5 linked regions of the Xenopus tropicalis genome follow. The protein of the gene in region 1 purifies or fractionates together with the protein of each later gene. This does not show direct contact. Links are inferred from orthologs where the notes say so. Each region holds a gene or a part of one and is shown in the gene's direction. Other genes may lie near its edges.

What was found.
Region 2: the proteins of hdac3 (region 1) and ski purify together in Homo sapiens (affinity purification with western blotting; 4 studies listed by BioGRID and IntAct, with this or other methods). This does not show direct contact. The link is inferred for Xenopus tropicalis from reciprocal best matches to the Homo sapiens genes HDAC3 and SKI.
Region 3: the proteins of hdac3 (region 1) and runx1 purify together in Homo sapiens (affinity purification with western blotting; 3 studies listed by BioGRID). This does not show direct contact. The link is inferred for Xenopus tropicalis from reciprocal best matches to the Homo sapiens genes HDAC3 and RUNX1.
Region 4: the proteins of hdac3 (region 1) and atxn3 purify together in Homo sapiens (affinity purification with western blotting; 3 studies listed by BioGRID). This does not show direct contact. The link is inferred for Xenopus tropicalis from reciprocal best matches to the Homo sapiens genes HDAC3 and ATXN3.
Region 5: the proteins of hdac3 (region 1) and ccnd1 purify together in Homo sapiens (affinity purification with western blotting; 5 studies listed by BioGRID and IntAct, with this or other methods). This does not show direct contact. The link is inferred for Xenopus tropicalis from reciprocal best matches to the Homo sapiens genes HDAC3 and CCND1.

The regions. Positions count from the first base shown.
Region 1 is NC_030679.2:27,765,691-27,770,078, reverse strand, and holds the start of hdac3 (histone deacetylase 3), read left to right. Parts: upstream 1-1,558; 5' UTR 1,559-1,776; coding exon 1,777-1,831; intron 1,832-3,534; coding exon 3,535-3,617; intron 3,618-4,388. UniProt on the Homo sapiens protein: Histone deacetylase that catalyzes the deacetylation of lysine residues on the N-terminal part of the core histones (H2A, H2B, H3 and H4), and some other non-histone substrates.
Region 2 is NC_030683.2:91,195,533-91,199,171, reverse strand, and holds part of ski (ski oncogene), read left to right. Parts: intron 1-137; coding exon 138-257; intron 258-1,415; coding exon 1,416-1,531; intron 1,532-1,710; coding exon 1,711-1,982; intron 1,983-2,569; coding exon 2,570-2,871; intron 2,872-3,639. UniProt on the Homo sapiens protein: May play a role in terminal differentiation of skeletal muscle cells but not in the determination of cells to the myogenic lineage. Functions as a repressor of TGF-beta signaling.
Region 3 is NC_030678.2:13,923,588-13,927,226, forward strand, and holds part of runx1 (runt-related transcription factor 1), read left to right. Parts: intron 1-3,466; coding exon 3,467-3,571; intron 3,572-3,639.
Region 4 is NC_030684.2:87,324,576-87,328,787, reverse strand, and holds the start of atxn3 (ataxin-3), read left to right. Parts: upstream 1-1,306; 5' UTR 1,307-1,311; coding exon 1,312-1,335; intron 1,336-1,342; exon of another isoform or gene 1,343-1,412; coding exon of another isoform or gene 1,413-1,418; exon of another isoform or gene 1,419-1,446; coding exon of another isoform or gene 1,447-1,470; intron 1,471-4,212. UniProt on the Homo sapiens protein: Deubiquitinating enzyme involved in protein homeostasis maintenance, transcription, cytoskeleton regulation, myogenesis and degradation of misfolded chaperone substrates.
Region 5 is NC_030680.2:14,443,224-14,446,862, forward strand, and holds part of ccnd1 (G1/S-specific cyclin-D1), read left to right. Parts: intron 1-109; coding exon 110-269; intron 270-3,639. UniProt on the Homo sapiens protein: Regulatory component of the cyclin D1-CDK4 (DC) complex that phosphorylates and inhibits members of the retinoblastoma (RB) protein family including RB1 and regulates the cell-cycle during G(1)/S transition.

The DNA.
Region 1 (4,388 bases):
TGTGGACCAAAAGTTTGTGGCATTTTAGGGGAAGGTGTTGAGAAGAATGAGCAGTAAGTTCATGTGTGAATGGGAGGGTTTAGTTTTCTTCTCTTGTGTATTGCTCCTAATCTGGGTGGCCATGTATGTATGTATGTATATCTTTATTTATAAAGCGCTACTTATGTAGGCAGCGCTGTACAGTAGAATACATTAATACAAACAGGGGGTTAATAAGATAATAGATAAATACAAAGTATAACAATAAATACAAATAAATACAAGATACAGTTACAGTTGCAATAAGTTAAGAGTCAAAGACACAAGAGGATGGAGGTCCCTGCCCCGTAGAGCTTACAATCTATATGGGAGGGTAACTTACAGATACAAATAGGCAAATATAAGTGCTGTAGGTCACAGTGGGTGACAGTACAATATAAGTGCTAGTTCCCAGAACAGGTGCTGGGCGAGTGCTCCAAAAGGTAGTCTTTTAGTTTGGTTTTAAAAAGACTGGGGGAGGATTCTCTCCGGAGGAAATCAGGGAGGGCATTCCAAATGTAAGGGGCAGCAAGGCAGAAAGGTTTAAGGCGGGAAACCGCAGTAATATTGGGGGGCGCAACCAAACGATTGCTCTGCGAGGAACGAAGGAGTCGGCCAGGAACGTACGGAGACACAAGGGAAGAGATGTTGTGAGGAGCAGACGAATGGAGGGCTTTGAAGGTTAGAAGGAGTTTGTAAGATATTCTTTGTTTAATAGGAAGCCACGATAAGGACTTTAGCAGGGGAAGGGCCTGAACTCTCCTGGATGAGAGGAGGAGAATTCTGGCAGCAGTATTTAATATAGACTGTACGGGGGAAAGATTGGAGTTAGGGAGGCCGGTTAATAGCAGGCCATGTGCTTGGCCACATCACTTCTGGTTAGGGCCACCAATATTAGAGCCCTCTTCTGCTTAGTCAGCAGGACCTCCCCGCAAAGCACCGCATTGTTTTGCCCACCAACTGCCGCTAACTAGTAGTAGACTTAGGCCCCACCAACAAATATGCCCCACTAAGTAACATGCCTGGGCACAGGCCCACACCCATAATCCTTCCTGCCAGCCACATTATGTATGTATAACTTTATCTATAAAGTGCTACTAGGATAGGCAGCGCTGCACAATCTTACAATATATAGTTACACACAGGGAGGACAAGTGTCATAATAAATACAATAAACAAGTATAAATAGAGAGTAAGTGCCCTGTGATCCCTGTCCTGCAGAGCTTACAATCTACATACTCTTACTCTGCCCCACTTCCGCCCATTGCGAAATCACCCCACTTTCCGCAGCCCCTTCAGTTACGGCTTCTGTTGGTTTATGGACCTCCTACAAAAACCAACTAAGCAACCGGTCTCAGGAACACAGTGTAATGAAACGCTCAAGTGCTCTAACTTCCGTGTATTAAGAACGGTGGAAATGACTATACAGGTCAGAATAGGAAATAATGGAAAAGACTGGCGATACTAATAATGCTAATAATGACTTTATTAGTAACATTGCTTATTTACACTAAGGTCACTAAGCGACTGCACGGAACGCTGGGATTCCAAGCTTGGGATACACGCCCTCTGGGGGTAGAGCCCAATACGGGAAACTACTGAATGGATTCAGATCCGCATAGCAACTGGTGACGTATGGGGCCCTGCAGGGCTGCTGAGAGAAAAAGGAGCAAACGTATTTCCTGTGCGCTGCCGGAAGCGCTGCTGCTAGTTCTGTAGGGAGTACTTGGGTGTTTTAGGTCTGCTTTTGACAGCGTTATGGCAAAGACTGTGGCTTATTTTTACGATCCGGACGTGGGGAACTTCCATTATGGTAAGTATTGGTGTAAAGACGTAAAGGCAAACAAATGATGGGTTTTTATAGAAACACATAGCACACTGACACAGGAATCCCGATAGATGCATGAGGAGAGGCACTGGCAGAGGCACTGGCATATAGATACATTACACAGATGCACAAAGGACACGTCTTGAGAAAAAATATTCCTGAAATCAGTGAGAAGTGCAGTAGTTTAAAGGGCAACTTAACCCAAATTTTGTTTAAATGATTTTAGCGTTATTTGTAGATGTAATAGCATTGGAAAGCTGTATCTGCACACTGTTTATACTTTTGGTTTTTACATCTAATTACCAATCTGTCAGAAGAAAACCATACCAGCCCGCGAGTGTCTCCTCATCCATCTTATGTCTGTGTGCTGCTTGCTCATGTGCCGTAAAGTGAAAAGCTGAACTTTAACAAAAAAGACGGCTTTTTCACTCTACTGCGCATGAGTGGGCCCCAGGATTCAAAAGAAAGAAAGAAAGAAGGAAGAGGAAACATTCACTGCAGTTACCCAGGCTGGTGTGGTTTTCTTCTAACAGAAGCACCAACCCCGTGTAAAAGATACGTGATAAAAGACACTTTTTTACATTTCCTTCTCCTTTAAGTCCTTTAAGTAAATCCAACCATCCATTCCCCCTCTGCTGGCTTCTGGGTATCCCTTTGATCTCCACTCCCTCCAGCCCCCCCAGTTTTACATCTATTCCTTCTCTCCCTTCCCTCTGTTCTCTTTGGGAGTTTCCATATCCCCTCGACCACTGCTTCTTCTCACTTAGGTGTTTAAGTTAGGTCTTCTTAAAGTTCTCACCCACCTGCTGATTCAGCATATTCCCTTGTCTGGCAGCTCGCTCCCTCCTGCATCTATTCCTCACCCTTCCTCTTTACAGGCTGTGTTCCTGTTGCAGTATCCTTAGGAACTGTGATGGATCCATGCAGAGATGTGTGTGTGTGTTTGTGGGGTGGGGGGGGGTAGCAGTGCTTGTGCCTTTAAGTTATAAATGGTGTATACTGATGTAGATACACACCGTTTATAAGGATAATTCACAGTGTGGCCATTAGGGAAATGGGCAAACTGTAAATTATAAAGATATAGTTTACAGGATATTTGTGGCTTTTGTGTGTTTTTTTTTCTGTTAAAAACCAACATATTCTGCTGTGCTTTATAGAGACTGCTCACAACATTTTTGGAGTGCAATATCAAACCAGAGCCATGTACAGATAGTGGTTTGCTCAAAATCATTATTGGGCCCAAAATTCTGTAAGGTGGCAACACTTTGTGACCATGTCATGCTATTTCTCAGTGGGTCACCAAATGAATGTGTTTGTTGTAAATATAGTTGTCCTTCAAATGTTTGTTTAAAGACACAGTTTTGCATCTATTGACTGCACACCATTCTGTCATATTTGCCAGCATCTGAAACACTAAAACAGTGGGTGAACATTTGGGGAACATAACATGACAGCATATGGAAAGTGGTAGGGACAGAAATATGGTGTCTATTGCACTTTGCAATACAGAGTTTATGTTGTGGCCAATGTTTGTCCATCATTTTTTATATGTATTTGTAGCCTATATTCAAGAAGATTGATATGGAATTGTTTTAAGGGAAAATCAGAACATCACAATTGCAACCATTAAAATGCTAACCTAGCATTTATTGCCAGATACGATCCTTAATATTTGCATTATCATTCAGGCACAGGTCATCCCATGAAACCTCACCGATTATCCCTTACACACAGTCTGGTTCTACACTATGGACTTTATAAGAAGATGATTGTAAGTATAATAGTTTGAGTGTAGAGTTTTTTTTTTTTCACACAAATAGCAAGGCATAAGTAAAATGCTAATTGTTAACAGAACATTCTTCTCCGAATGTTTGTAATATACATAAGTAAGGAAGCTGTCCTAACTCTTACCCTAACAAATATTTTTTCCTTAGTCCTTTATAAAACAGCAGTTTGAAATATATTGCATTGTCCTATTGCTGTTTATGAATAATGTAAGTAGTATGGTATCTCATGCTGCCACATTTATATTGATATATGCTGAGAAGGAATGTCTCAATATAGTTCCTAAATATATAAAATAAGCATATGTAGAAAACCAACAGTAATAATTGCAAAGTAAATATTAGTAATATATTTTATATTTGGCTACAACCCCCATGGCAAAGGATGTCCCTTATGTGAACATCAGGTTTGTGCCCAGCAGCTTCAAAGGGTCAAACAGCAAGTCCCAAAAAATAAGCCGGTAATTGTGCATGAAGTTGGTGCCTTATTGGCTCTAAAAAACACATAAGGTGGCAATTTGTGGGGCCTACCCTGCTCCTTTGTCTAGGCTACCGGGGAAATATAACATGTGACGTCATAATGAATGGAGACTAAGACTACGCCCAGACCTCCATTTATGTAAATATAGTCTTTTTTTATTGAAAGTTTTCAAAAGTAGTGTCCTTCTGGTTATCTGGGTAGTGAGCCCATATACTATGGTAACAAAGTCCTTCTGACTAAAAGCATCATACTTAATACACCAAAATGATAATTAACA
Region 2 (3,639 bases), on another chromosome or scaffold:
TATCATTTATTTACATAGTGCCAGTAAAACACATGTTGTATGCATGCTGTCTAAAAGGGGGTCTTAGAGCTTATTATCTGTTAAATAATGGGAAATTTACAGTCCACAAATCTAATAAGATGACTATTTTCTTTTAGATTTCCTCTGAGCCTGTTGCCAAAAAACCCAAGGCTGATGACTCCATCATCCATTCCCCTAGCTCTGCTGAAAAAGACAAGTCATCCAGTTGGCTACGGAACCTGTCCAATAACAACAAGGTACCTCAGTCATACCCTATCTCAAAACTCATGTTGGCACATGTAGGGAAACAACATATTTCTTTGACAAATAGATGAAAAATCTATTCTGCTGTGCTATGTGTACTTTCTACACACATTGTTTTCATATACATGTATTTGTGTATTTTCTGTTCTGTTGAAATGTTTAGCCTATATAAGAATGAAGTAAGTGGATCGCCAACGACTTAGGGACACTGCAAACTCCACAGTCACGGTCATATCATCACTCTTGGAACTTACATTTGTTCCCTGCCAATAAATATTATTTGGCTTTACATTTATTCCAGCTCATCGTTTCCAATAAAAGTTGCTAGGCAATAAGGTCCAATATGACAACCTAAGGAGTGACTGAGGCATGTGTAGCAGGATTGATGAGAGGGGAAGTCGGAGAACAATGTTTTCATAAACTAGATTCTTTTCAGGTTTGCACTTCAGTGATTAATACAAGACCCTGTTACAACTGACAGTTTACACCTAAATAGTATTAATCTTTTCTAATTATCTTTATTTAGTTAGAATAAAATCAAATGGGTGACTCAAGCAGTTTAAAAGTTTGCTTCCCACAGAAGCAAGCTTAATGTCATAGATGACATCTAGATTGCACACCTGGCTTTAAGGGAAAAAAATACTTTGTCTTATTTTCTCCCCCTACATAGATTACACTTTAAAAAAGAAACAAGCCAAAAAAAAACATTCTCTGTATAAATGCAAAAGTATAGCGTACACTGTGTAGTAACAATGACTAAAGGAGTTGTCAGTAGTATACCACAGAGATGTTGTTATTGATGTGTATCATAATTAAAAACTGATATGAAGAGCCAGCTCAGTGTCTTGTTGGCTAGGCAAATTGCTGTACTTAATAATGCAAAGGTTGAATAATTATATGGAATGTAAGTTCTCAGTTTTCATTGAAAAATATCCATATTAATGCAAGTATATTGTTGGAAATATTGCTTTCTGTAAACTAATTTCTATTTTCTGTTACTTTGTTCTGCAATGATTCTCTGTGCTACAATTTATGTAGTCTTTGAAACCAAGTTGACCATTGTATAATAGTTTCTCTGTTACAGATGATAATCTTAGATTGTGTTTTGGGATAGTTTTGACCTAAAGTTTTTTTCTATGTATTGATTATAGAACACGGGATATGTACATCCACGTCAGCGTCTGTCTGCTTTCCGGCCTTGGTCCCCCGCCATTTCAGCAAACGACAAAGAGTTGTCTGCTCACCTGCCAGCTCTGATTAGAGACAGGTAACACCATGGCTTATCTGAACATTACCTATAGTCAGTATACTGATCATATCAGCAAGGAGGCTGTTGTTTGTTTCTATAATATTAAGGGGATCCTTGTTTGATACAAGTTTTGGAAACCATTTTTTTTTCCAGTTTGGTAACTTCAAATATATTTATATTTTTTTTTTTTTTTACAGTTTTTATAATTATAAGAGCTTTGAAAATCTGGTTGCCCCAAATGTTGCCCTGGCACCTCCTGTTCAACAAAAAGTGATTACAAGCCCCCCATGTGTACCTGCTGTACCCAGAAGCACTCAGTCATCAGGCAGTCCGCCCCAGTCCAGGAAACGGAGGCCTACTGCAGAACTGCCCATAGCTCCAGAGGCGCCAGCACCACCAGCACCAATCAGAGAAGAAGAGAAAGAGTCTGAAACAGAAATTGAAGTGGAAAGCAGAGAAGAATGTATGTGTGAGTTGAAATTTTTTTGTATTGAAGTGCTTAAAGCTAATATTTTTTCCTTTCTATGTTAAATTGCTATTTTTTACGTAGTATTGTGGAGATGCAATGAAATAAGTTGCTAGTGCTTATGCAGGATAGAAATTTGTTTTTCTGATGTGTAAGAATTATGTTTTGTTTTTACTTGATATCCTATTGGATTATTTAACCATGATCACCCCAAGCAGCAGTTAAGAGCTCTGATGTAATTTATTGTCCATGTTATTATATTGAGGCAGATAAAAACAATGTCTGTTAAGAAAAAGTAGAAAGCTTGACCTATGTCTGGGTTTCGGTTCATGGATAAATAGCTTCAGTTTGTGGGAATATGCTTCAGAGAACTGCAGAGAATATTCTTTGGATGAGTATGAACAGTTTTAGTACCTGGCTGTATAAGGAAATAGAAAAATATTCCATGTCAGGATTGCAATGTGTCTTAAATCTTCTTGCTAATGAATGTTATTGGGTGCACAAATATGAAGTTATACTATTTTTAATGTAGCTGTTTTTAGGAGGCCTACAAAATACTTACTATATTTCTTATGTTCCCCTCCATATAGTTACCTCTTCCTTGTCTTCGCTCTCGTCTCCCTCCTTTACATCCTCAAGTTCAGCCAAGGAATTAAGTTCCCCAGGCATGCTAGCACCAACTGTGATCAATACATCTTATGAGGTGGCTTCTCACAGTGACCAACACAGCAGTGGATTGGAAGCTGAACTGGAGCACCTAAGGCAAGCCCTGGACAGTGGTCTAGATTCCAAGGAAGCCAAAGAAAAATTCCTCCATGAAGTTGTAAAAATGCGAGTAAAACAAGAAGAGAAACTCAATGCTGCTTTACAGGCCAAGAGAAGCCTTCAGCAGGTAATGCCACATTGCAAACACTGGAAGGCATTTTGTAGTGCTGTTGCCAAAATATAGACACTACTTAGAATTGCCCTATCATTGGAGAAGCCTCAAAGATAAAATACTCTCCATAAATCATGGGAACTTACAGGGGAATTAATATTTTTCTCCAGCTGCTAGATGATAATTGTACTTCAGACAGGAGGCAGCTTTGCTCTTTGCCATCAACCGAGATGAATCATGGTTGTTTCCTTCCCTGTGTTTCTGAGTTTCTAATTCTGGTCAAGAGAAAGTCAGCGCTGCTGCAGAACTAACAATGGCTTGGCTGGGAAGTGAGATTATTGCAAGGGAAAAGGATTTCCCATGACCTAGTTGCAGGGTGTTGCTTAACAGAAATATGTTGTTGTGCATGCTGGTATCTGAGCGAGAGGGGAAGTGTCACTTCTGGTCCAGTCCTCCACCCCCATATGTCATTCTGTCAATCTTTATAACAACAACAATACCAACTAGGAACTATAGAAGCTTATAATGCATTTGTATTCAACTGCAAACATGTTTTGTATGTGCAGAATTCCTGTCTAACTACTCAATAGCATTAGGGCAAGTTAAAATGTTGGATGCGTTTTCTAAAAGATCTTCCTCTGTGCTTATTTTTTATGGCACTTACCTAAAGATTTATTAACTATGCATATGTATTTTGTGTTTCAATCTAATCTAAAATCTCTCATATAATATTACTGTCAAAGTCAAGCAATCGATTCTTTGCACTGCATTGATCATAGATCA
Region 3 (3,639 bases), on another chromosome or scaffold:
CCCATATCTGCAGCTAGAATTGGCTCGGGTATGGCCACCTTTATTGTTGCAAGAGTGGGCCCTGAATTTCCTGGTTATTGTTCAGGCACCACTGGTGTTTGGCCCAGTAAGCTGTCAACACTGTCTGGAGTGGCCATTTCAGCAGCTAACATTGGCCCTTGTATGACCACCTACAATCAGTGATCAATATTGGTGCTTGAGGAACCCCTTAGTCTGATATAGAAACAGTCTTACAGGTTCCTGGAATGGGAGAAACTTTGCCAGAGTTACCGCTCCCCCTTGCTGCTCGCGAGTCTCAGGACGGCAGTCTCTCATTAATCGAGTCGTCTGCCTGCAGAGGCACACCAATAATTAGGAGGTGCCACGGGATGATGGATCCTCTTTTATTTCTGAGCATTCCTGTATTTACAGCTCTGCGCCACTATGATCATTATCAGCTTGTTACTGTATTTATGCACGCTTCTCCATTCCTCTCAGCCATGCCATAAGCAGAGCAAACACGCTTTTTATCAGCTGAACTACAACTCCATACAATGCTGCTAGCTGGAGCTCAGTAAAACTGGCGCAGGCTGGATTATAAATATTCCGAACAGGGTATATTGCCACCAAGAGAGCCCTATATCATGCAACACAAACATCTGATCGTATGTGTACACCCAAGAATGTTCTAATATGTAATTTAAGCCTTTTAATTACCCCTTATCTTGGAACAGGTACTCTCTCCTGGGGCCAGGGTGAGTTGTAATGTAAATACATAGAATTAATCCTGCTATCATTTTTTTAATGGAAAATACCCAAATTTTTTTTAAAAAAAAATAGGTGTTATCATTTTAAACTTGTTTTTAAGTTTATAGTGAGATAATTACTGTGTTGTATGTATGTATATTAGTGCATGGGCTGAGGCTTAAACCACAGGCAGCCACACAAGCTATGCCTTTTTAGGCTCACTGAATACTACTTGTAACTAGGCTAAATGACCCTGGCAACAATAAATTGGCTAAGTAGGAGGAAAAAGGTTACCAATTTAAATTTATAACAATAAAGAACCAAGAAGCAGGTAGAATTATTGCAGGAATAAAAGACTAATAAATCAAATGAAGATGACCAACTGCAAAGTTGCTTAGGAACCAGTAATTGGCTCCTGGTTACTGGAAAGCAGATGTTCTCAGGGCAGGCAGTGGAGCAGTGGGTGTGTGCCCTAATGTGTGTGGCAATCCACTCTTTCTTTGGAATCTGTTGCCTAATCAGCCGCTCATAGGGTTGGGCCTAAGGATTTTATAATAGGGCCCAACTTGTTCCGTACGAGGACTTTAATTCCACCTACTGTCCCCTGTTGTTTGTATGGAAAGCAGATTGTGTCAAGTGTAAATGTATTCAATAATTTATCTGACTCGTATACTTTGCATAATAAGGGTAGGTGGTGTAATGTGACTTTCCCTGGCAGTTTGTGGGAATTGGTTTTTTCTTTCCTTCGTTGACAGTCACTTTTCCTGTCATTCTCTCCACTTGGCATGATGTGGAAGTCATTTGTGCCAGATGGATATGCTGTAGGTCAGTCTGTAAAAAGACTGTGTTGCACTGGTTTTAGGAAAGCAAGCTTGGCCCAAGAATTAAAGTGAAAAAAACAAGGCCAGGTCTAGTAACCCTTAGCAACCAATCACCAGTTTGCTCATTCAAGCTATGGGTCTGAGAAAAACAGAGGTATTACGCCATAGCCACACAGTTGCGGATTACAACAAGGTCAACCCAGGCCCAAAGTTTAAAAAGAGCAGAGAGTCATGGAAAGGGGTTGGAGCTTGGGTGGGTGGGGCATCACCCAGGGCCGCCCCTTCAGTTCTGACATTGATAATTACAACTCACCTTCTTGCTTACTTTCCCTTTAATTCCTAGCCATAATTCCAGTGTGTGAAAGTCCCAGCACGTGGGTGAAACCACTTTGTAGTGAAGCACTTCATGGGAAAATGAAATCAATAGTGTGAAAGTCCTTCCAGCCCTTTTATATAAACCTTCCGAAAAGGCAAATATTTATGATTCACACAGATATCCAACCATTTCTTTTTTCAGAGCGGGCATTAGCTTATAATCCATTTGCACTGGCGGCTTGCCACCAAGCAGGGGCATGATACATCTCTGCCGTCTTCATCGCCATTTCTGTCACCTCCACCCAGTGTGCTAGGCAGGGGATCAGGTTACGGACAATATGCCAGGCACCCATGGCTCACTGGGGCATATTAGGCGGTGCTGCTCTGCCTGCTCTTACTGGGAACCCGTTTGGGACGCTGGATTTCTATGTAATTCCTTGTACTACCCCTGGCCGGTATGGTCCTTTGCTAAACTGCAACTTCCAGCAGCCCCTGGCAGCCTCTGCACTTGGAAGTTGTAGTTCAGCAACAGCTGCAGGACCGCTGCAGACTGCAAGGGCTTTTATGCATGCACATATTATATATTTCAATAAACTGCCTGTTGGATTTGGTTGTACAGGGAAACCCATTATCCAAAAAGTTCCGAATTATGGAAAGGCTATGTCCCATAGAGTCAATTTCAGTCTTTAAAAATTATTGTCTTTTTACTGTATTATAATAAGATGGTAGCTTGTACTTGTTCCCAACTAAGATATAAATAATCCTGTTGGGTTTAATTACTTTTTAAAAGAGATCCGAATTATGGAAAGACCCCCTTATCCGGAAAACCCCGGGTCTCGAGCATTCTGGATAACAGGTCCAATACCTGTATACAGTATGTCAGATTTTAAAAAGTTTGAGCTGGCAACCCTATTTAATTTATGGATTTTTTTCTGTTAGGTTGGGGGCCCTCCTGCCTGTACCTCTAACCCCAGCTCTGGAAACAGCACTGAGTACAGTTGTGTTATCTGCATTTCTATAAATGCTTCATTCCCTCCCACCGCGGGCTGTGTTTAACCAGCATAACCTGCTCCCTGACTAATCTGCCGTCTACACGTTAACCCATCCTCTAATAATTCATTGCTCTGCTCAGTTAAGGCGCCACATGTCCGTACTGCTGTGTGCATTTACATCTCTGCAATTAATCCATTAATCAATTTTATTAGGAGGAACATGTTTTACATTAAGAGACTTGGCACCTCATCTGGGTGCAAAGAAAACTGATGCTTCACTCATCTGAACTGGTTTCCAAGCTCAGCCTGCTGGGAGTTGTAGCTGCTGTTCTAGAGTATAAAGTCTAGTAACCCATAGCAATCACTCGGGTGTTATCTTATAGTAATAAGAATAATAAAAAAGAAAGTCTGATTGTTTGCTATGGGATACAACTCTGGAGGGCAACGACATCTAGGGGGTCAGATATATTCTTGGTTTACTTAATTCTGAAAGTGTATTTTATGATTAACTTCCCCTTTATATAGGAAAGAGTGCTTTGCTTTCATAACTGCAAATCAATCTTGTTGAGTCAGACGAGTGGATTAACCTGTTAAATTCTGTTTGTATTTTAGGAAAAAGCTTCACCCTGACTATCACCGTCTTCACCAATCCCCCGCAGGTCGCTACCTACCATCGTGCCATTAAGATCACTGTGGATGGACCTCGAGAGCCAAGACGTAAGTGATATTTCTTTACTCTGCTGATTAAAATCGTATCTATCCCACTTATATATATATATATATAT
Region 4 (4,212 bases), on another chromosome or scaffold:
TGCCCTGCATTGCTACAACTGGTGTGTTTGCCTCAGAAAGACTACTATAGCTTATATAAGTAAGCTGCTATGTAGCCATGGAGGAAGCCATTCAAAGGAGAAAAGGCACAGGCACATAGCAGATAACAGATAAAACACTATTGTATTCTACAGAACTTATCTGTTATCTGCTATGTAACCTGTGCCTTTTCTCCTTTTTTCCAGCTTGAATGGCTGCCCCCATGGCTACACAGCAGCTTATTATATATTAGCTTTTCTGTAGCAAAAACACCAGTTTTTTGCAGAGCAACAGCACATTATATTTTAATTACTTTAAAACACTTTAATTTTTTGATGTTACTGTTCCTTTAAGAATTCATAAAACTCACTTGCCCCTCCCTAAGTAATGTGTAATCTGAGCTACCAGCCTCTAAAGCTGCAGCAGGAAGCTATGAAGACCAAGCTAAAACGACAGCTGCAATCTTAAACAAACGGAGGGAGCTTCTAGCACTTTACTCAGGTATGGCATTCTAGGTGTAACGTTCTTGGTGGCACTAGGGTTGCCACCTCTGCCAGCTTTCTTAGCCGGGCGGGGGTGATATCACTGGGGCTGGGAGGAGGCGGAGCTGTGCTGTCGCAGGGCTATGGCCACCTTGTCAATGTTACTGAGTTGTGCCTGGTTTTCCTCATTTGGGCCTGGGCCTGTCTGGCTCAAAACTGGAAAGGTAGCACTAATGTAGCAAATCTATTGGCAGTTAAATGCCAAAATGAATGTCCTTCTGTAAGAACCTGTATTTACACACCGTAGCTGTTATTTTCTATTACTATTTTATTAATATATAAACACATGCCTTTTTGCCCTATTTAAACTGAAGGCTGCCTATTTGGTTACAAATCAGCCATTTATGGAAACCATTGTAGTGTTTTTAACGCACAGCACATTTAACATTCTTCTGCTTGCAAAATCTAAAAATGTTTAGCTCTATTTTTGTCATTTAAATATAGTCCTAAGACTTAAGTGTTAACCATTCAGACTCCAGTATTTTTTTACTTAGTATATTTCCTAATACATATTTCGGTAGTCGCTATCACCACTCTGAGAATTAACTCTTCGTCAATTTCTAATACCTATCAATAATACAAACAAGACTCTTCACCCAAATCCATTACGGAAGTCACGCATAAAGAATCACGTGACAAAAATGGTCAGCTGACGAGCATCTTCCGCACTAATCACATGATTGGGTAGCGCCTAATCTATTGGAAGTGAAACTTCCGACTCGTATAGACGTAAGCCTCGGGGGGTGTGTCTGGAAGCAGAGGCAAACAAACATGGAGGTTATCTTTCATGAGAAAGTAAGTTCAGCCAATTCTGAATATGGTTTTATTGCGCCACATGGTAAAGAATTGGAATCATCTTCTGGATCACCGTCATGCTGGTAGTATGGCATATAAGATATGAACTAGATGGTTACGCTTTATTTCCTGACTGTGAGTCGAGACTTTTTATGCTATGAACGCTCAGCAGGGACAGCAAGGAAATTCATTGGAAAGTGGGAAACCGGGGTATAGCCAGGAAATCTAATTCATACCTTTCAGTGGTATGCACTGGCTGTTGCAGCCTTATCCTTTTTTGAACAGAGGCAGTAGGGATGCTGAAAGTAATGTATGAATATCCAGGCTGCCCATCAGCAGTAATTAAAACGTGGCATAAGTTTCCAAATTTCATACCATGTTCTGTAGTGGTGCACCCCAGAAAAACTGTACTGTATATTTTATTTGTAAATTGATGACTGGCAAGGGTATACCACTGTTACATTTTCTTCTGTCATAAAACTGTTAATATTGTATTTTACTTGGCAACAATTTTTTTACAGAGTTGGTTTTTTTCTACCTGAAACAGCTTGATCAGTTTGGGGTATATTTACATGCTGTGTTAAAAGTAGAGTGAAACATTACTGGTGATGTTGCTTATAGCAGCCAATTAGATGCTTTGGTTTTCTGACTGTGGAAATCTAATTGCTGATTGGTTGCCCTGGGCAACATCACCGGTAATGCTTCACATATATACCCCTTGCATATACCCCTTAAAGGGGAACTATCGTGAAATTAATAATCATTAAAATGAATCATCACATAAAGTTATGAAAGTCTCTAAATATAATGTATTAAAAATTTTATACAGTTTTTAATATATATCAGTTTTCACAGTGCTCCCTCTAGCAGCTGCTTCTCTCAGCCCTGCTCCTAGCCTGCTATGAAGTCGGAGTCGGGTTTAGCTAACTGACAGGTATGCCTTTCTCTCATTGGCCGCCAGTGCTGTCAATCTGGAGCTAAGGAAAGCCAGCATCAGTAGTTCAATGGCTTCAGAGGCTCCGTTTGAATGCAAAACTCCTGCCTGCTCTCTCCTTTTGCAGTGCCCTCTCCCTAGAAAGGTTTGTAAGAAGTAAATCAGTGGCTGGTGAATATTACATACAGGGCATTCAAACTGGGACATCAGCGTGTCTCACTGCTCAGCTAAAAGCATGTGCTGTGAAGGGGGGGGGAACTACTTCTGACACAGTCGGGGGAAGGGGGAAGTTGAGGTAGAGGCAGGAGTTTTGCAGAAATCTGTCCCTGAACGGAGAGAGGAGCCTTTTGCAGCAGTGACCTACCAATGCTGGTTTGTAATGCACACGCTGTTGGGAGGGGGCGGGGTCAGGAGAGAGCAGGAGTTTTCTGTGAAGATTTCAGAGAAGGGACAGAGCTAAAGTTGCTGCCTTTAGGTGCCTTTTGGGAGAGGGGAGAGTTGTATATCTCTGGGTGTTTGTGTGTATGTGTATCATTATCAGTGTGTGTGTTTGTATATTTGTGTGTATCTGTGTGTGTGTGTGGGTATATTTGTATGTATCTGTGTGTGTGTGTGGGTATATTTGTATGTATCTGTGTGTGTGTGTGGGTATATTTGTATGTATCTGTGTGTGTGTGTGGGTATATTTGTATGTATCTGTGTGTGTGTGTGTGTGTGGGGGGGGGGGGGGGGGTAAATCTGTGTGTGTGTGTGTGTGTGTGGGTAAATCTGTGTGTGTGGGTAAATCTGTGTGTGTGTGTGTGTGTGGGGGGGGGTAAATCTGTGTGTGTGTGTGTGGGTAAATCTGTGTGTGGGTAAATCTGTGTGTGTGGGTAAATCTGTGTATATGTACGTGTGTGGGTATATCTGTGTGTGTCAGTCCGTGAATCTATGTGTGTCTTTCTGTGAGAGAGAGTGAGAGAGTGTGTGTGTGTGTGTGTGCAAAGAAACCCTTACAATGGGCCAACTGCGTATGCAACCTCACATGGGAAAAATAACCTCTGTTGTGTAACATTTGCCTAAAAAAAATAAACTTCAGATTTGTAAATGTTTTTTCCCAAATCTGTGTTTGTGGTTGTAATTCCTGCTCTGAACCCTGAGGGGAGTTACCAAGGTCAAGTAATTAATTACTGTTTGGTATGGTACAGGGTTGGCCAAGTGTTACACTAAGGCTACTGCTACGCAGGGCTGGATTGTCTGAACGAAGACCAAGAATCAGCCCCTTCACTGGCATCAGCCTTCTTACTTGCCTGTGCCCGGTACCACTGCTATGTACAGAGTGCACACACGCAGTGGATTTCAGCTCTGAAATGTGTGAGTATGCATTTAGGAACTGACACGTGTGCGCACCCTGGACAAAGCAGTGGTACCGGGCGCAGGGAAGAAGATGCCAGTGAAGGGGCCAATTCTCTGTGTTTTTCCATATGTTTTTCCATAGCCTTATATGAGAATGTAATGTAATGCAAATTCAGGGAAAATTCATATGCACTATTTTCATTTAGGGTCTATACATCCAACATACTTTAGCAAGAAATTGTATTGAGATGTGGCAAATTGCAACATTTTTAAACATTTTTCAGAAAAGTCATAAAAACCACTAAATTTAGGAGAGCTTTGCAGATTGGTACTTTGGTGTAAAAAAAGACTCTTTAACCTTTTTGGATTTGTCAGATTGTGTACTTTCCAAAAATATGTGGTTTTCAGGGGTCACCCTACATTTCTGCAGCTTTTACCCCACATAAAACTGCCATGTGTTTATGAATTAGGTAAAGGTAAGCCATGAAATTAGTGTGCACAAGGTATATTTTGGGGTCTCTAAGTGCCATGTGCTTTGATAAACCTATGTACAGTGGGCATCAAACTGTTCATTAGCCCCCTGGGGTTCATATTTAGGATGTTTTATC
Region 5 (3,639 bases), on another chromosome or scaffold:
AACCCCCCCATCCCTACCCTTACCCTCACCCCCTACCCTTACCCCCACCCACACTATGCTGCCCAGTTCTAACTTGTCGCCCATCTCTCTTTTATTCTCCCCCCCACAGCTAATGGAACTGCTGATTCTGAACAAGTTGAAATGGGACTTGGCCTCTGTGACCCCCCATGACTTTATTGAACATTTTCTAAACAAAATGCCACTGACTGAGGATACCAAGCAGATCATCCGCAAACACGCCCAGACATTTGTTGCCCTCTGCGCTACAGGTATGGGTGCTATGTTCTGTCGCTGGTGCCAAACATACTTGTAAGCTCACTTACTGTTAATGCAGAGCGCCCCCTTCCCCCCGGGCACAGCTGCCCTGTGTTGGTACAAGGTGGATTACTGGCAGAGGGGTGCCCTGTGCTCTCTCCGAGGTAAGTTGGAAACGCCGCAGCCTTTGTACAAAAGCCTGACTGTCTGCAACAGGTTCCATGGAATAACATGCAGCTGAGTTTATATTTCCCCGGCACCCTGAGCCATCACAGAGCTCTATAGATCGTTGGCCGCCAACTCAAGGCTGGATTTGTGCATTTATCTTCTGTTAGTTTAAGCACAAGCTGCTATTTAAATAGCCTTCTCAGAATCCTCAGCATGTTGTTGGACTACAACTCCCAGCATGCTTGGCTATAGGGTGAAGAAAGCTGGCAGTTGTAGTCCAGCAACATGGAGGGACCCTGGGTTAAGAAAGAGGGGCCCAGAAAGCTCCCTGCAGCTGCCATGCTGGTCCTTTATCTCCATTAACCTCAGGGGAACAGCGGCCTCTAGTGGCTGGAGTGTGTAGAAAATGTGGGCTGCTCAGGAGGTATTGGGAGCTGCCATATTGCTTTCTCTTTGGAAGGATGTCTGTCCCTTAGGGGTGTACAAATTTTTGCCCTGGAAGGGAAGTTAATGTTTTCAGAATTTACCGTTGAACACTGTATAATGTGTTGCTCCCCCCCCCCGGCATATAGGGGTATGGGGGGCTGCAGCTTGGTTGTGTTTAATTGATGTATAATTGGCATGAGAGAAGCACGCTGCGGCTTTTGTGTGCTGGGGACATCATGCCCAAAGCAGCATCTGTGCAACACAAGCCCGGCCATTAAGAGCTGCCTGGCTTCAGCCAAGCGTGTCATTTGGGCACTGCCAGTCAGCACCGGGCCCCTCTGAGCAGAACCGCAAACACTTCTCCCAGTGTCAGGGAAACCAACACCCACTGCTGACGTCTTCGGCTCAGGCTTTGTGCTGTGCGCTGGAGGCGCGTTTGGGGGGGAAAGGCTCTCCCATAGCCCTGATCCATGCTCTGTGGGGCCTCCTGCTGTCTGCTTAGTGGGAGGAACCCAGGCTGGGCCCATTTCTTCTTGTAATGTACCCGCTCCAAATAGGCGCTTTCCCTATCCCTATGCTAAAGTACTGTAGATGGTTACTGTGGCTGTGGTGGGTGCTTATGCCCATATTGTGCCACACTGGCTCTGGTGTTGGTTGGCATGGGTTACTCACGGGGGGGGGGGGGGGGCACTGTGAGCCCAGTTGGATCTCGCTTTAGTTCTGCAAAGCCAGAGCTGGCACAACTATAACTCTGGCATGGCCTGATATACCCCCCACTGGGCAAGCAATATGGCAGCTTTCACACAGCGGTCTCATTGGATCTGCTGGCACTGTATGCCATGCCCTCTGCCTTGGTTTCCTTTATAGGAGCAATAAATGCTACATTGTGGCCAAGGAATCCTGATACTCGGTAACCTTTAATCATTGTTATGACAAACAACACTGTAACCATTCCCTGCAATCGGATTGCTCAGATAGGGAGTGTGTGGCATGGTCTGGAGGTGACCAAAGGTGACTTTCTTCACAGCTGCCCTTGGGGATGTGCCAGTAGGGCAGATGCTTTGGGCCTTTCCAAAGAGCAGTTGTAGGTGGGAATAGTGGGGACATAGGGCATGATGGGTACAGTAGGGCATGATGGGTACGGTAGAGCATGTTGGGTACAGTAGGGCATGATAGGTACAGTAGGGCATGATGGGTACAGTAGGGCAGGGGTCTCAAACTCGCGGGCCATTTGCGGCCCTCGGTACAGTATTTTGTGGCGCGCACCAACGCCTTCTCAAAAGCAATGAATGGATCACGATTTTTATTGCGATTCAAGGGATAATGCAAGGCACGGCGGGCGGGAGCTGCTGATTGCGGAAATGACGTTATGCCATCATAACAGTTATTATGGGAAGAGCTAATTGTGCACACAGAACGTCTTCCCATAATAACTGTTATGATGGCATAACGTCATTTCCGCAATCAGCAGCTCCCGCCCGCCGTGCCTTGCATTATCCCTTGAAAGCCAATTTTTTGTGAAATCCCTTATGCGGCCCAGCCTCATCCTGACTTTGCCTCCTGCGGCCCCCAGGTAAATTGAGTTTGAGCCTCCTGCAGTAGGGCATGATGGGTACAGTAGGGTATGATGGGTACAGTAGGGCATGATGGGTACAGTAGGGTATGATGGGTACAGTAGTGCATGATGGGTACAGTAGTGCATGATGGGTACAGTAGGGCATGATGGGTACAGTAGGGCATGATGGGTACAGTAGGGTCTGATAGTTACAGTAGGGCATGTTGGGTACAGTGGGGCATGATGGGTACAGTAGGGTATGATAGGCACAGTAGGGCATAATGGGTACAGTAGGGTATGATGGGTACAGTAGGGCATGATGGGTACGGTAGGGCATGATGGGTACAGTAGGGTATGATAGGTACAGTAGAGTATGTTGGGTACAGTAGGGCGGGATGGGTACAGTAGGGTATGATGGGTACAGTAGGGCATGATGGGTACGGTAGGGCATGATGGGTACAGTAGGGTATGATGGGTACAGTAGGGCATGATGGGTACGGTAGGGCATGATGGGTACAGTAGGGTATGATAGGTACAGTAGAGTATGTTGGGTACAGTAGGGCGTGATGGGTACAGTAGGGTATGATGGGTAAAGTAGAGCATGTTGGGTACAGTAGTGCATGATGGGTACAGTAGGGCATGATGGGTAAAGTAGAGCATTTTGGGTACAGTAGGGCATGATGGGTACGGTAGGGTATGATGGGTAAAGTAGGGCATGATAGGTACAGCATGGCATGATGGATACAGTAATGCATGATGGGTACAGTAGGGTGTGATAGGTACAGTAATGCATGATGGGTACAGTACGGTATGATGGTGGCAGTAGGGCATGATGGGTACAGTAGTACATGATGGATACAATAGGGTATGATGGAGGCAGTAGGGCATGATGGGTACAGTAGGGCATGATGGGTACAGTAGGGCATGATGGGTACAGTAGTGCATGATGGGTACAGTAGGGTATGATGGGTACAGTAGGGCATGATGGGTACAGTAGGGCATCATGGTGGCAGTGGGTGACCCAGTGGGTTAGAGTAGTGCTAGTGATCCCACTGGAATGTTCCGGCATGGAGCCATGGGAGCCGGCTCCTTTGCTTGTGTGTGTTAGTTAACCCTTTGTGCGCCCAGGCTCTGCATTATGTCCCTGTGCCCGAGGCGCAGCCAGAGATGAAGTTACTGTGCCCCACCCTGGCGCCGTGACCTGCCCGTTATGCTGTTCTGACCAGTGAACCTGC